Arabidopsis thaliana: one gene and its partners. The protein of the gene in region 1 purifies or fractionates together with the protein of each later gene. This does not show direct contact. Each region holds a gene or a part of one and is shown on either strand. Other genes may lie near its edges.

The links.
Region 2: the proteins of NRPC2 (region 1) and LFR fractionate together in Arabidopsis thaliana (co-fractionation; one large-scale study listed by BioGRID). This does not show direct contact.
Region 3: the proteins of NRPC2 (region 1) and AT1G32730 fractionate together in Arabidopsis thaliana (co-fractionation; one large-scale study listed by BioGRID). This does not show direct contact.

Annotation. Positions count from the first base shown.
Region 1 is NC_003076.8:18,254,929-18,259,970, reverse strand, and holds the start of NRPC2 (nuclear RNA polymerase C2), read left to right. Parts: upstream 1-1,773; 5' UTR 1,774-1,918; exon of another isoform or gene 1,919-2,000; intron 2,001-2,224; 5' UTR 2,225-2,257; coding exon 2,258-2,283; intron 2,284-2,375; coding exon 2,376-2,472; intron 2,473-2,638; coding exon 2,639-2,760; intron 2,761-2,969; coding exon 2,970-3,062; intron 3,063-3,253; coding exon 3,254-3,326; intron 3,327-3,408; coding exon 3,409-3,499; intron 3,500-3,574; coding exon 3,575-3,627; intron 3,628-3,920; coding exon 3,921-3,985; intron 3,986-4,172; coding exon 4,173-4,278; intron 4,279-4,364; coding exon 4,365-4,475; intron 4,476-5,042. UniProt on the Arabidopsis thaliana protein: DNA-dependent RNA polymerase catalyzes the transcription of DNA into RNA using the four ribonucleoside triphosphates as substrates. Second largest core component of RNA polymerase III which synthesizes small RNAs, such as 5S rRNA and tRNAs.
Region 2 is NC_003074.8:8,162,078-8,167,176, forward strand, and holds LFR (ARM repeat superfamily protein), read left to right. Parts: upstream 1-1,863; 5' UTR 1,864-1,937; coding exon 1,938-2,130; intron 2,131-2,227; coding exon 2,228-2,397; intron 2,398-2,480; coding exon 2,481-2,614; intron 2,615-2,711; coding exon 2,712-2,968; intron 2,969-3,167; coding exon 3,168-3,273; intron 3,274-3,366; coding exon 3,367-3,505; intron 3,506-3,596; coding exon 3,597-3,724; intron 3,725-3,812; coding exon 3,813-4,068; 3' UTR 4,069-4,273; downstream 4,274-5,099. Other genes in the region: AT3G22980 (Ribosomal protein S5/Elongation factor G/III/V family protein), read right to left, coding at 1-1,239. UniProt on the Arabidopsis thaliana protein: Involved in leaf and flower development. Plays roles in leaf development partly by associating with AS2 and repressing KNAT1/BP transcription. Required for the formation of anther cell layers and normal expression of genes that regulates anther development.
Region 3 is NC_003070.9:11,838,834-11,844,134, forward strand, and holds AT1G32730 (electron carrier/iron ion-binding protein), read left to right. Parts: upstream 1-2,076; 5' UTR 2,077-2,243; coding exon 2,244-2,365; intron 2,366-2,658; coding exon 2,659-2,720; intron 2,721-3,003; coding exon 3,004-3,091; intron 3,092-3,309; coding exon 3,310-3,412; intron 3,413-3,514; coding exon 3,515-4,123; 3' UTR 4,124-4,475; downstream 4,476-5,301.

The DNA of each region.
Region 1 (5,042 bases):
TTCAGGATCATCATAGCTTATGGGCGAGAATCATGAGATGTAAGTACAGAGTACAAGATGTTCGGGATGGTGCTTGGACTAAAGTTAGAAGCGTCTGCTCATCGACTTGGAGAAGTGTAGCGTTGGGTATGAGAGAGGTGGTAATCCCGGGCTTAAGTTGGGTGATTGGAGATGGTCGGGAGATTCTGTTTTGGATGGATAAGTGGCTAACAAATATTCCTCTAGCTGAGTTGTTGGTTCAGGAGCTTCCGGCGGGTTGGAAAGGAATGCGAGCTAGGGATCTTTGGAGAAATGGGATCGGTTGGGATATGGCGGCGATAGCTCCATATATATCTTCTTATAACAGATTACAATTACAATCGGTTGTTTTAGATGATATAACGGGAGCTAGAGACAGAATATCGTGGGGGGAGAGTCAAGATGGGAGATTCAAAGTGAGCACCGCCTATTCTTTTCTTACTAGAGATGAGGCGCCGAGACAAGATATGAAGAGATTCTTTGACCAAGTATGGAACGTGACTGCGCCTGAGAGAGTGAGACTCTTCCTCTGGTTAGTAGCACAACAAGCCATTATGACGAATCAAGAAAGGCATCGTCGACATTTGAGTACCACGAGCATCTGTCAAGTTTGTAAGGGAGCGGAAGAGTCTATTATCCATGTTCTCAGAGATTGCCCTGCAATGGAAGGAATATGGCTACGGCTTGTCCCGGTGAGCAAACGGCGCCTTTTCTTTGAGAAGTCTATTCTTGAGTGGTTGTATGTAAATCTGGGAGACCACGGTGAGGTGAGAGGCAGTGTTTGGTCCACAGTTTTTGCATTGGCAGCTTGGTGGGGTTGGAAATGGCGTTGTGGAAATGTTTTTGGAGAGGTTGGCCGCTGTCGGGATAGACTACGGTTCATTAAGGATTTGGCAAATGAGGTTTCAGCTGCTCACTTAAAGCTCCCCGGGAATACGAAGGAGATTGTGCGGGTAGAGCGACAAGTCTCATGGAGGAAACCAAATGAGGGCTGGGTCAAGCTGAATACGGATGGGGCGTCGCATGGGAATCCCGGAGAGGCGACTGCAGGTGGTGCGTTGCGGGATGAGGAAGGCAATTGGATTGGAGGCTTTGTGCTTAATATTGGGATTTGTACAGCTCCTTTGGCAGAACTGTGGGGGGTCTACTATGGACTTTACATAGCTTGGGAGAGGCGGGTCGCGAGGTTGGAGCTAGAGGTGGACTCGGAGATTGTGGTGGGGTTTTTAACTTCAGGGATCAGTGACTCTCACCCCCTGTCGTTCCTAGTACGTTTGTGCTATGGCTTTTTTATCAAGGGACTGGTTAGTCCGTGTGTCACATGTGTATAGGGAGGCTAACCGTCTAGCGGATGGGTTAGCGAACTATGCTTTTTCTTTACCTTTAGGTTTCTATTCTTTTAATCTTCCACCGGATATTGTTAATCCGATTTTGTTGGAAGATGCCAATGGGGTCTCAAGGTTACGTTTTGTTCGGTTATAGTTCTTTTTTCTTTTGTTATGAATAATAAAGCGGGAGACTTCTCCCGTTTTCCGGCCAAAAAAAAAAAAAAGAAAACAAAGACATTTGCCTTAAACTATACCGAGCCTCTTCTTAAATTCTAATTTGAATACACCCTCCTTAGAGGCCAATTGTGGTTATTGGCAAATATTAATCAACTTTGAAGTTTGGGTAACAATTCAAAACGTAAAAAGAAAAGAAGGACTACTAAAGTGAATTAAATACCAATAAGTAATAAACGCAAAGGATGACAAAAAAAAAAGTAATAAACGCAAAGATACTGTTTAAAACCCTTTCGCCGTCTCTTAAACCTCTTCCCTTAACCGACTTCGACTGTGTAAAATCTTCAGCCAGCGAAGCGACTGTATCAACTCCAGCTTCAATCTCCTTCGAATCGCAGGTTCTCTTCTTCGATTTTCATCTTCAATCTCCTTTTTGAAATCACACGAAAATCCCCTCACAATCTCTTCCACAAATTTCCGGTACTCGTAGAGTCGTTAGGTTTACTTCTCTTACTGTTTCTTCTCTGTAAATCACAATGCTTCGTCTTCAATTCTCAAAACGACTGGTTTCTGGGAAATTCTGGGTTTTATTTGAATTTTGATGAAATTGTGGAAAACTAGGATTCAGTATTTGGGTTTTTGTGGTTTAATTCTCTTGTGATTATGATGTGTTGATGTTAATTATATTTCTCCATGGATTTCAGATAACTGACAGCTTAATTGCAAAGTTAAGAGCGATGGGACTTGATCAAGAAGATTTAGAGTATGGTTTTTTTTTGTTAATTCTTCATTGATTTTGGATTTTAATTGAACTATTTAGATATATGTCTAATGTTACTCTTTCTATTGAAACAGCTTGACCAATGATGATCATTTCATTGACAAGGAAAAGCTTTCAGCTCCTATCAAGTCTACTGCAGATAAATTCCAGCTCGTTCCTGAGTTCTTGAAGGTACTACACAGAACACAAAAATCTTTATTTTTGCTTTATACGAATAGCTGAAACAATGCAATTGGGTTACTTTACTTTCAAAGTCTTTGATACTACTTGGAATGTATGTAATCTTGGTAGCAAAGGTAATCCATAATTTGATTGTGTAATTGTCTTGTTTTTGTAGGTGAGAGGACTTGTGAAGCAACACCTGGATTCTTTCAACTACTTTATCAATGTCGGGATTCATAAGATTGTTAAGGCAAATAGTCGTATTACATCCACAGTGGACCCATCAATCTACCTAAGGTCAAACTTTTTTTATCATCTTTTTTATCTCAATTTCTTTACATATGTATATTGATATACTTTGTTTCATAATCAGTATGTAGAACCGTTGGTGTTTTGAAGTCTTTTTTTAATCGTCCTACAACATTGATATATAAATTGAGATTGTTCTATTTATTGGATTTCTGCTCTTTCCTAAACTAACCTTTCGTAGCCAAATTTTAATGCAGGTTTAAGAAGGTCAGAGTTGGTGAACCGTCAATTATAAACGTTAATACGGTGGAAAATATTAATCCGCACATGTGCCGATTAGCAGACATGACGTAAAGAGTTCTTTTATTTACATTTTTTTTGTTGTTCGATGTTTGAGCATATGTTGGGCAGTTAGAATTTGGTGATATCTTTTGCATTTTCCACCTGTTTCTGTTGTTCTGCATTCTTCCACATCATCAATAACTTTCTTTTTTCTCTTGGCTGTGTTAAATGTCTTAAAACTTCTTGTTTTAATCATCAGATATGCTGCTCCAATATTTGTCAATATAGAATATGTTCACGGAAGTCATGGAAACAAGGCAAAAAGTGCAAAGGTAAATGGGAAAAACAAAATGTATTATACAAACTGCTGGTTATTGGAAAATTCAGGCTGAATATGATGTTTCTTTATTTCAGGATAATGTAATTATCGGAAGGATGCCTATTATGTTGCGGAGTTGCCGCTGTGTATTACATGGAAAAGACGAAGAGGAACTTGCAAGATTGGGTTTGTATTGTACTCTTATTTCAAGCATTACATCTTCTTGTTCATCATATTTATTGTATTTCATTTGGATTCTAGGTGAGTGCCCTCTTGATCCTGGAGGATACTTCATCATTAAAGGAACTGAGAAGGTGCTTCATACTTCGTATATACAATCTACTCACAGCATCTTATGGAGTCTATAGATTGCCTAGTAGTCCGCACTTTGACTTAGTGGATACATGTTCTGTGTTGTTGCATATCTTTAGTTCAGACTTGATAGTGTGTTTATTTAACTGTTAACACCGTTCTCGTTCTAATTGGCGTGTTTTGGTTTTTAGTTTCTTATGTCAATAGAGTTATCCGATTTGTCATGGAATCCTTTCCTTTTTACGTGACCTGAAGCCATGCCATTGCGTGTGTTGGTGTTTGATGTTCATTTCAGGTGTTGTTGATACAAGAACAACTTTCGAAGAACAGAATTATTATTGATTCTGATAAAAAGGGGAAGTAAGTGATCTCTTACAGTATTTTGGTCCCTGTAGTAATATTGATGGCAAGCATCCCCATATACATTAATTGTCAAGCCAAATCATTGTATCATGCTCCAGCAGTGTTCTTCCGTTATTTACCCACCACTATCCAATTATCAATTTTACTATTTACTGACTCTCTTTCTTTTACTACGTATTTTCAGCATAAATGCATCCGTCACAAGCAGCACCGAAATGACAAAAAGCAAAACAGTTATTCAGATGGAAAAGGAGAAGATATATTTATTTCTTCATCGATTTGTAAAAAAGGTGTAGATACATTATGACAACCTCCGCTTTAATTGTAGATCTTTCGGCGTTGGATTTTATTGGCTGAGCATGTGATTTTGTCATAGATTCCAATTATAATTGTCCTAAAAGCTATGGGAATGGAGAGCGACCAAGAGATTGTACAAATGGTTGGAAGGGATCCCCGTTTTAGCGCGTCACTCTTACCTTCTATTGAGGCAAGTACTATAGCCCCCTGCTTTTTATCTTGTGTCTAATTTATGGTCTTTTCGTAATGATACTGGTGTTTGAGTGAACCTTTCCATTTATAAAACTCTAGATCTAGAAGCAACTGTAGTTCTATGGATGTAAATGTTTGTTGTATGAATTTTTGAATCTCTTTCATTTGCGAAGTAAACTACGAAGCAGTGACCCTTGTGGTTGATTGTTTTGTTCTCACAATTTTAGTAGGAGGGTGAATGTCTAATTTTTAAACTCAACTCCCAATACTAACGTGTTGCCATAAAGAAGTCATAATACATAGATAATGATATTCAAATCTGATACCATGCATATTGTCTGATGCACTTGTGAGCAACGTTGGTCGGTCGGTGACGCATAAAGATATAGAAGCCACTTATGGCTCTTAGAATGGAAGGTTTTGCTTTGACATTGTTCTCCCTCTTGCTCTAGCTAATGAAAGTTATAGGTAATGTGTGAATATCATATACCTGTGTCTCACAAAAGAACCTGCCATATGAAACCAATTTCTTAGCTAGTCCTTTTTGTTGAATGTAAAAGTTGAT
Region 2 (5,099 bases), on another chromosome or scaffold:
CATTTTCATTGGAATAGCAAACATTTTCGACACAAACACAACACAAGGACTGTCACTGCTAGAATCACAAGCCTCGATTGATTTTCTAACAAGCTCTGCTTCTGCCAGGACACTTGAATCAACATCATCACCACCAATAATTTTCCTTTCTGGAACCAAGCGTGGGATTCTATATGCCTGTGCTGCAATGGGGTCTGGCAGATGTTTCACAGCCATAGACAAGACTGCATCAGACAGAGGAAGCCAACGGCTCATCACCGATTGAAGCACGTTTTTTGGATCCTTGTTCTGAAGTTCGCGTGGTGGAATAGACAAATTGAAAGATTTGATAACTTTCTCAAGAACGGCTTTATCCCCACCAGGATCTAGTGCAGCTTCATAAACCTGCCACAAAGGCTCAAGCACAAACTGCACAAACATTGGTTTCGCCTTGCTTCCAGCACTTAAATTCTTCTTCCCTACTATCATCTTAGTCTTAGGAATATAATAACGAGGACCCCATAACGATTTCTGCAACGCAGTCGCACTAGCTCCAAGCTTGGAGGCATAAAAATTAGCAAACTCCGCAATCCCAAAACCCCACCCGTCTAAAGCACACACGAATACTACATTACCTTTCTGAGGCTGAAAAGTAACTTCTTCATCATCCTCCAACAACTCAAGACTCTCAGCAGACAACTCCCCTGAAGGACTAGCAAGTATAGAATCAACATCCGACAAATACTTCTCTGACTTATACGCACTCACAATCCCGTTAACCTCATGAACAATCCTAATCAAACGAGTATACGCCTCCATAGGACTCAACCTCAACTCAAAAATCAACCTATCAATCTTATTAAGCACCAAACAAGGAGTCAACTTCTCTATCCAAGCTTGACGCAACACAGCATGCGTTTGAATATGAACTCCCTCAACAGCATCAACCAAAACCAACGCACCGTCACTTAACCGAGCAGCTGTTGAGACTTCACTACAGAAATCCATATGACCAGGAGAATCAATCAGGTTCAAAGAATAGTCTTTATATTTAAGAGAAATCGAAGAGCTCTTCATCGTGATTGCACGTCTCTGTTCTTCATCTAGATAGTCCATGAACCTAAGCTTCCCGGCAAGTCTCGGGTGAAGAACACCGCCACCGGAAGAAGCAATTAGGTGATCGGCGAGAGTCGTCTTACCGTGGTCTACATGTGCTAGTATACATATGTTCCTAACTTTCCTACCTTCAGATTCATCCATCTCTTCAATTTACAAAACACACAGCTACCTGCAGATTCAATATATACAAGGATTACATTATCAGAATCGATGCGATTCAAATTAGTAGAGAAAACTTCAACAAAACATAATCCAAATCCTAAAACCTTGTGTGAGAGCTCACGAATTTTTGAATCGAATCCACAGAGTTGTGCACGTCTCGTAAGAATCAAAGAGAGATAAAAACGAGAGAGATGCTCTTTGAAGATTCCATAATATTTTAAAAAGTTCGATTCAAAAATTGAGTGATATGTAAAAAAATCACCTTAATCAGTTGATGGAGCTCAGACGTTTGAAGAAGAATGGTGCGAAACTTGCTTCGGCGGCGAAACAACGGCGGCGCAGGGTTTGGCGATTTCCCTCTGCAAGTTTGTCTGTATAAACATATACAAGAAGACGTGAACGTTTTTGATTTTAATTAAACCGGAACCCTGTAAACCAGAGAGACGGTTTAGTGCTCTCTTTTAACAATTTTAATTATAGTCTCGGACTCTTCAACCGGAATAAACCGGTCTAAAACGTTTTTAATTTCAATTGTACCGAAACCCTCTGACTCACAAAAAGTGTTTAGTGCTCTTTAAACAATTTTAATTTTTAAATCGTCTTGGGACTTTTAAACCGGAATAAATCTTTCGGGTCAAAATTTCCGAACCCTAACTTTAGCCCCAAATTAGAGAGAGATGCAGAAACGGGAGCTTGGGAAATCCGGCGGTAATTCCGGTGGATCTTCGGGTCCACCAGCGAAGAGAGGCCGTCCCTTCGGTAGTACAAGTGCTAACTCAGCTGCTGCTGCTGCAGCGGCGGCAGCAGCGGACGCGATGTCACCGTCAGCTTTACTTGGTCCTTCTCTTCTAGTTCACAATTCCTTCGTCGGTAAGCTCGCAATGACCACTCTATAATTCCTCTCTGTTTTCTTCTTGTGAACGAGTTTTTAATCGGTAATTTTCATTGGGATCATTGGAATTTATAGAGCAGAACAATAGAAGAATAGTTCTTGCGTTGCAGAGTGGTTTGAAGAGTGAGGTGACATGGGCATTGAACACACTTACGTTGCTTTCCTTCAAGGAAAAAGAAGATATTCGAAGAGATGTCATGCCTCTTGCTAAGATAGCTGGCTTGCTTGATGCCCTTCTCTTAATTGTGAGTTTATTTAATTGTTTAGGTGTTGGGATTGTGTTTTCCTCTCTGTTCTTTGAACCAACATGATGCTAAAACTTTGGCAGATAGATGATTGGCGTGACATAGCTCTCCCAAAGGACCTGACAAGAGGAACTAGAGTTAGAACTTTAGGTACAAATGCTTCAGTTACGGGATTTGGCAATGAGTATGATGCTCTAGCCTCTATTCAACCCCCTGGGTGAGCTAATTTCGATACTGCTTTGATTACAGTTTTAAATGATTGTTGCTTATATTTAGAATTAGAACCTAAGTGTTGTTAATATTTGGCCTAGCAGATCCGGGATTGGTTCTTCTGCTGCTGAGGCATTAGGAAAAAAGAGCACTGGTAAACATCAGTCATCTCAGTGGTGGATGGAAGAGGATGGTTTGTTTAATCTAGACGATGAAGGGAGATCAGAGAAACAAATGTGTGCTATTGCTGCATCGAACGTTATCCGCAACTTCTCCTTCATGCCTGATAATGAAGTTGTAATGGCTCAGCATCGCCATTGCTTAGAAACTGTTTTCCAGTGCATACACGATCATATGACCGGTAAGGAAGAATACTAATGTTTTGATACATACAATCCCAACCTTTTTGTTTCTTTTACTAGTTATAATTCCTTACATTTGCTTCTGATAGATTCTTATTTCTTATTGGTTTGAATTGGCTTGAATGTATTCTCTCTGTTTCCTTATTTGCTTGATACTTGATTGGGAACTATGGTCTTAAGACAATCTTTTGTTAACAGAGGATGAAGAGCTGGTCACAAACTCGCTAGAGACAATTGTAAACCTAGCGCATTTGATGGATCTTCGAATTTTCAGCTCGCTTAAGCAGTCATACATCAACATAAAGTGAGAAGTTGTATCTCCCTGCATTCTTAGTTACACAATCCATAACTTGTTTCAAATACCAATGTGAATCATTCATTACTCTTGTGCATATAGTGAAAAGAAAGCTGTTCAAGCTGTGGTCGGAATCCTCAATTCTTCTGTCAAAGCTTGGAATTGTGCTGCTGCTGAGTTGCTAGGGCGTTTGATAATCAATCCGGACAATGAACCTTTCATTAGTCCTTTAATTCCGCAGGTTTGTTAACTTCTATAATCTTCATATGGTTTCTGGCTACTTACTCGTTTTAACTAGTATTTAAACCCAACAATGGACCTATCCCTTGCAGATACACAAGCGACTAATCGATCTTTTGAGCATACAAGCCGTTGATGCACAAGCTGCAGCTGTTGGAGCACTCTACAATCTCGTGGAAGTTAACATGGATTGCAGATTAAAGCTAGCAAGTGAGAGATGGTAAACAAAAACTATACTCCCTCTCTATCGAATACAATCAAACTGTTTTTAGATCGCAACAATGACACACCATTATGATCTTTTTCAGGGCGGTTGATAGGTTGCTGAAAGTGATAAAGACTCCGCATCCGGTTCCAGAAGTATGTAGGAAAGCTGCAATGATCCTTGAGAACCTTGTCTCGGAGCCTCAAAACAGAGGATTGCTACTCGCGTATGAGAATGCTTTCGCTGAGCTGCTTTTTCAAGAGGGTAAGTATTCTGATTCATTTGCTAGGATTTTGTATGAACTCACTGCTAGATCTAATAGCAGAGTTGCTTCAGCTAGAGGAATCTGGGGCATGTAAAAGTCTTCTCTAGATTAGTGGGTTTGATTAATTGATTGTGTTGTAAACTTTAATCATTTGCTATGTATTAAAAAAGCAGTGTTGTTGAACAAAAAGTAGATGGATTCTTCTCTCGCATAGCTTCGACATGTGTTTTGTTTGATCTTTACTAAAAACAAATTTGAGATATTTTGTGATTCAAATTGAAAATAAAATAACCCAAATAATCACGTTTTGACGTTAGAATAGTGTATTGGTTAATCATATTCATATACTATACAATAAACTAACAAGAATTAAGTCACACATAATACAGTGTTTTGTCTTTACATTTTTTGTTATTATTACTCTTTCTTCAAAATCAATGTGTCTTTTCTTGTAGACGAGGAGACGTTTTCTCTTGTTATACATTTTTATTTGGATTCGGTTCGTATAGTAGAACATAATTATATTTTGAACAACCATAACCATTAACCACCTAATTAACCCATAAATTGTGACCAACAACTTTCTACAACGCGAACTAGAGCATTTCTACAAACGTTAATTGCGTATTCCACATATATTTTGCTAAACTTGAATTTCGTGAAGATTTTAGTAACCTTCTTCTTTGGTATATTATGGAGTTGAAAGAATATATAACCGTTGCTTTAAACACACATACCTGTATTTCGAGACAACTCATCTCAAAACTAAACTCTAAAATCAAGTTATTGCAATCTTTCTTTCTTTATGTTCATACAAGATAGTGGTTAACTGATTCACACACTAAACATTTGGTAGAAAAATATCAGAACAATAAGAAGAATATATTTGGAAAATGGTTTGATTGGTGATATAAAATTAGTTAGTGGTTAAAGATGAATGTATAGATAGAAGTGATAAGAGATGGCTTTGAATCTTTCTTTTTGTTTCTGCTAATTTGATGGATATTCAAGCGGTATATTTTGTATCGATCAAATTCTTTATGCTATTGAGATATCTTTAACTTGGAGCGCATTATTGAAACTTTCTTGTATATAATGATTTTTTTACCTTGTTGTATAATATAT
Region 3 (5,301 bases), on another chromosome or scaffold:
TTTAACATTTTTATATACACATCACTCTTGCCAACTAGATCCACAAAAGATCCTACAAAAAAGGAATTCAAATATATTTTGGAAAATCAAGTCCTTACTTGATAAGGACGATTCTTGCTCCTTTAATTTGTTAACAAGAAAAAGAAAAAATATCTCATATCTCGGATTAATACCTCACAAACCGACCGATTTATGTATTTCTGATTTGGTTTAAGTTCAGGTTCAATTTATAGAGAAGTTGGATTAAAAAATAACCAAGGCCTATGTATTAATGTTTTTTTTTGCAAGATTATGCGCTAGGTTGCATGGAAACTCGCTCCGAGGTGCGTTTCTCGTTTCCGAAACGTTTCGGAAACGGAAACTCTCCGGAAATACGAAAAACGTCACGGAAACGCGTTTCCTAAAAATCTAGGTTTAGAAACACGATGGAAACTTACGTTTCCAAAATAGAAACTCACGTTTCCGAAATAGACATACGACAAATCTTTTTTATTGACTTTAAAAATTTAATAACTAAAATTGAAAATATTAAAATTATTATTACATATAAATAATTTTGGAAGACTTTGAGTTTTAAGATCTTTCTTTTGTTAAACCAGATTTGAAAAGAGCTTTATATTATCTTTGATAAAACTAATGAAAATGTTGGTCTAAATTAACTATTTGAACTTGAACCTTTTAATTTTTATCTTTTAGAATTTTAGTTTATTTATTTAATATTGATATTTTGGACTTGTATTGTTTAAATCATTTTTTCTTTAATATAGTTTTATGTTAATGTTATATATATATATATAATGTTATATATATGTATAAATGTGTATACGTTTCCAAAACGTTTCCAATCCCTAATTTTAAGAAAAAATCGTTTCCCGTTTCCGAAACGTTTCGTATCCGCATTTCCGTTTCCGTTTTCATGCAACATAGATTATGCGAATGATTGCAATTTACAAGTAACAACTTGAGAGATGTACGTTCACTATGTCGCGAAGAATTGGTGAGGAAATCTTTCGTAATATTTTGTTATCCAATGGTATTTATCTCGATTGTAATCGTTAAATCATGAATGGATGGTTAAATATTTACCAAATAAATAAAAAGAAGAAGAATAATTAAAATTTATATATTGGTGAGCAAATATTATTATTCCGATTAAATTATACTTTTTAATTGTTGTTTTGTAAAATTGTTCAGTTCTGTTTTGTTTTGTAGTCTCTATTATCATCAGAGTTGTTTAGTTTGATCGTCGTGTGGACTCTTGACAGTCCTCATAGTCTACTAAATCTAAAACCAATGATAAATCAACTAATTAATTAAATAATCATGTCTATAAAGTATAAACTATATTTTTATGTGTTAACCCATCCAAATCTGCAAGTCCATACAAATTGACTCTAAATATATTGAAGCTGCAAAATCAGCCAAGTACAAAATTGACTCTAAGTATATTGAAGCTGCAAAATCAGCCAAGGTTACGCAATATAATCATATAGCGATCGATGCATCAGAATAATAAGTTAGAAAGCGATATCAATTGCAAAATAGTATAGAGTAGTATAAAAATATGAAAACACTCTGAAGTTGAATGCACCAAAATCTAAATGCATTGTTTTGTCTGCCAAATTGACTTCTATCTAGAAGCTTCTAGTGTGAAGCTCTGATACCACTTGTAACGTCCAAATCAAAGCTTCGAGTTACAAGTCAATTAGTAGAATGATTTATTGTTTTTGTTTCTTTTACTTATGAAAAGACTCTAAAGCAAAGCGAAGGAAGAGATGAGGAAGAAAAAGATTTGCCCAAACGGCAAACACTAAATTATTTAGATTGATGTTCTATTGTTCATATGAACAATAACGTCTATATATATGTGAATCTGATTCGATAGAATAACCTAATTACTTGGGCTTTTTTTGGGCTTATATTGATTTATCTGACAAGTCTGATCCCGGATAAAGTTCATGATTTGGTTAAGTTCGGTTCAATTTAAAGAGAAATTATATTGGGCTTTAAAACCCAGGCCCATATAAAAACGACTCACGTGGTATTATTAATAACCGGAGCCCTAGACCCGCCGTGAAATCGAGCGATTGAGAGCACTTCGCAAAATCAGAGCGACAAAAAAAAATAAAAACCAATCCTTTCGATTCCAAATTTTTTGTTACTCACTCGCACGAGTTTTATTTGGTCGTTAGTTATCTCTTTCGTTGAATAACGGTTTTAATTTAAACCGTTACTTTTTATCAATGGCGACTTCGTCACCGTCTCTGAGTAACAATGGTCTTTCCTCCGTCGTCACGCCTCCCAAAACTCTCCGTGGTCTCAATAAGCCTAAGTGTATTCAATGCGGCAATGTAGCTCGCTCCAGGTATTGCTTCTACGCATTGTTTCATCGAAGGACTTAGGTTTTTTACATCTGGGGTTTCGATTTATGGATTGTTCTTGGGTTTTTGATCTGAAAGGATTCGAATTTGTCTTGTATAGTACTTTTTCGTTTTGATTTAGGGTTCATAGGTTTGTGGGTTTGGGTTTTTATTCATGATTTGGTGATTAATCTGTTGGAGATTGTTTAAAGTTTTGAGCTTTAGTATCGAAAGATCAGTTTTTTGAGATTATTGGTGAAGTAATTGTAATTGTATTGCTTGGATTTGATAAATGCAGGTGCCCTTTTCAATCTTGTAAGGGTTGTTGTTCAAGAGCAGAGAATCCCTGCCCGATTCACGGTATGTTTGCCCTGTCAAATCTCAACTTCATAATTAGCTAAAGTGATCAGTTTTAGAGTTTAGTGTTGATAACTTTGATTGGAGAGTTCTATTCTTTCACTTGGTAAGTTTAGAGTTTAGTATTCTTGACTTCTATAGGGTTCGTTTGGTTGTCTCGGGACAAAAAAACCTATAAAGAACCATAAGACTGATTCTTGGAATGTGCTTGTGATTAGCTGAGAGATATAGAGATGTTATCATGGACTGTTTTGTGTTTCTTCTTATGTGTTTTATTTCGCTGCAGTTCTTAAAGTAGCTTCAACGTCTGGTGAGAAGACGCAGGCGCCAAGTACTCCATCTTCAGAGCAGAAAGCAACCGAGGGCACTCCCGGGTACATATATATAAACTAATTTTCTGTTTTGTTTGTGCTTCCATGGGCAAGTGAATCTTAGATGATAAACCGGTGTTTGCTTACTAATACTTTGATAGGAGATTCTTCAGCTTTCTTGTTTTATTGCACGTAGTTGATAGTGAGATGATATATTGGTCTTGTGGAACTAAAATATGGCGCTTTATGTTGACGTTTTCTTCTTTTGGAAATTGTTTCAGGAGTACCACTAGAGTTTCGTCAATCCGGCAACTTTCTAGCAACTTTGCTCAGTTTAATAACCTGAATGCTTCTTCCCGCCAGAGAAAACCTTTGACGATAAAGGTATACTAATTAAGACGTCTTTCATTGACTTTAGTACTCTATGAAAAATCTCCATTTAGTTGTTTTCCTCTTATCAGTTTTTGTTCTGTCTATATTCTATAGGATGCTCAAGCTTTAAACGAGTGGCGGTTTACAAAGCTAAAAGAGTACAGAGACAGAAACATTGAAGTAGAAAATGAAGCTTTTGATCGGTACATGAGTAATGTGAATTTACTCGAAGAAGCATTTTCATTTACATCTGTTCCTGATGAAGAGAGTCATGGAACAGCAGCTCCTGAGCAAAACAAAGAGGAAAATATTGTTTCAGAGCTTAAACTGAGGCTGAGATCGAACTCTGCAAGAACAGAGAGCTTTAAGAAGCGGATCGCGGAGACAGTCAAAGCCGGTTTGGTGAAGCTTAAGAGACTGGATTTAGGCAGTTCTTCAGATGATCAAGATGATATCAAAAGGCGGGTCAAAAGAAAGAAATGGGAAGAGAAAGGTTCAGCTTTGAATGAAATAATCGATAAACTGAACAAAGCAAGAACCGAAGAGGATCTCAAATCTTGCTTAGAGATGAAATCAAAGCTCTGTGGTCAAGTTTCTCCCACTGCTGCTTCCGAGAAGAACAAGATCTTTCCGGGTGTAGTCCGAAAAGTTGAGATGAGTGAAGAAGCACTTCAAAAAATCGCTGAGAATCTCCAATCTTTTGACAAAGTTGGAATGTTGTGAAGTCGAGAACATCCTGTGGATGAACTGAAAAGTTTGAGTGGCAAGAAAATTTCTAGATCCTTCGTGACCACGGTATTGTACAATGATCAAACATCCCTCAAAACTGATCCTGAAGACTCCAAAGACTCAAGAGATTCTTGTAAAGTAGTGTTGAGCATCATTTAGATATTAGAACTCAGCCATGGATAAAGCTGTTGATTCTATCTCATTGGATTTTTTTCACTGTGTGTTGTTGCTTTGTTAGATTTGAAATTGCTCATTGGATTACCTTTGACTTAATAAATAGTTGGTTTGGTTTGGTATTGGATAACCGCTCAGTCTAATTAGACCGGTTTGTTTTTTTGGAAAAAAATGAATCCATCCATCCATAGGCCACTTTCAACACGTATATTTGAAAACGACTAAAACCAAACTCTTAGATTCTAGTTTTGTTTTGCTGCCCCAATTCCACTATTGATCAAAACATATCCAAAAGTTTTTGTGGAACTAAAAAGTAAAAATAACGTTTAGTTTGTTTCCAATTTCAACCATATATATCTTATTCATATATGCATGTTGTGGTTGTCTCGTGTGTGTAGTATTCATTTACATTATGCAAACCAACTGGAAACATGTTGAATGGGTTATGGGTTGGTGGTTGGGACTTGAGGATCAAACAACTCAAATGAGCTCATTATAAGTTAAGCTCTCAATAATCATTAATTTATTTTTGTTACCACCTAATATTTCTACGAAGGGTTGGTGTAACAATTTTTAATTGTAAGATAATTGTGTAATCATTTTCAATATTAATTTTTATTATGTATTTATTTTAAAAAGTTATATAATACGTAACACATTTAGTACTTGGTTTTGGTAGCTTCATCAATGTACCATCCGAAGTTCCAAAAAATAAAAAAAAATGTCGATTTCACCGTTGGTGAAAAAGAAACTAAATTGATATGTATTATTCATTTTTTAGAAGAGATTATGGGTTTAAATCTGAAACTTCTTAGTTAAATTTTTAATTAATTTATTTATTTTGCATGCTTTATTATATATTTGAAATTAGAATCTACATGATTAATGATTTTTTTCTCAGATAGAATAAAAAATATATTTACTGATAAATTATTCTTTTACATCTTTCCGGATTCGCTACTAATGTGTTTTTGTTAACTTTAACCAGATTGCTTATG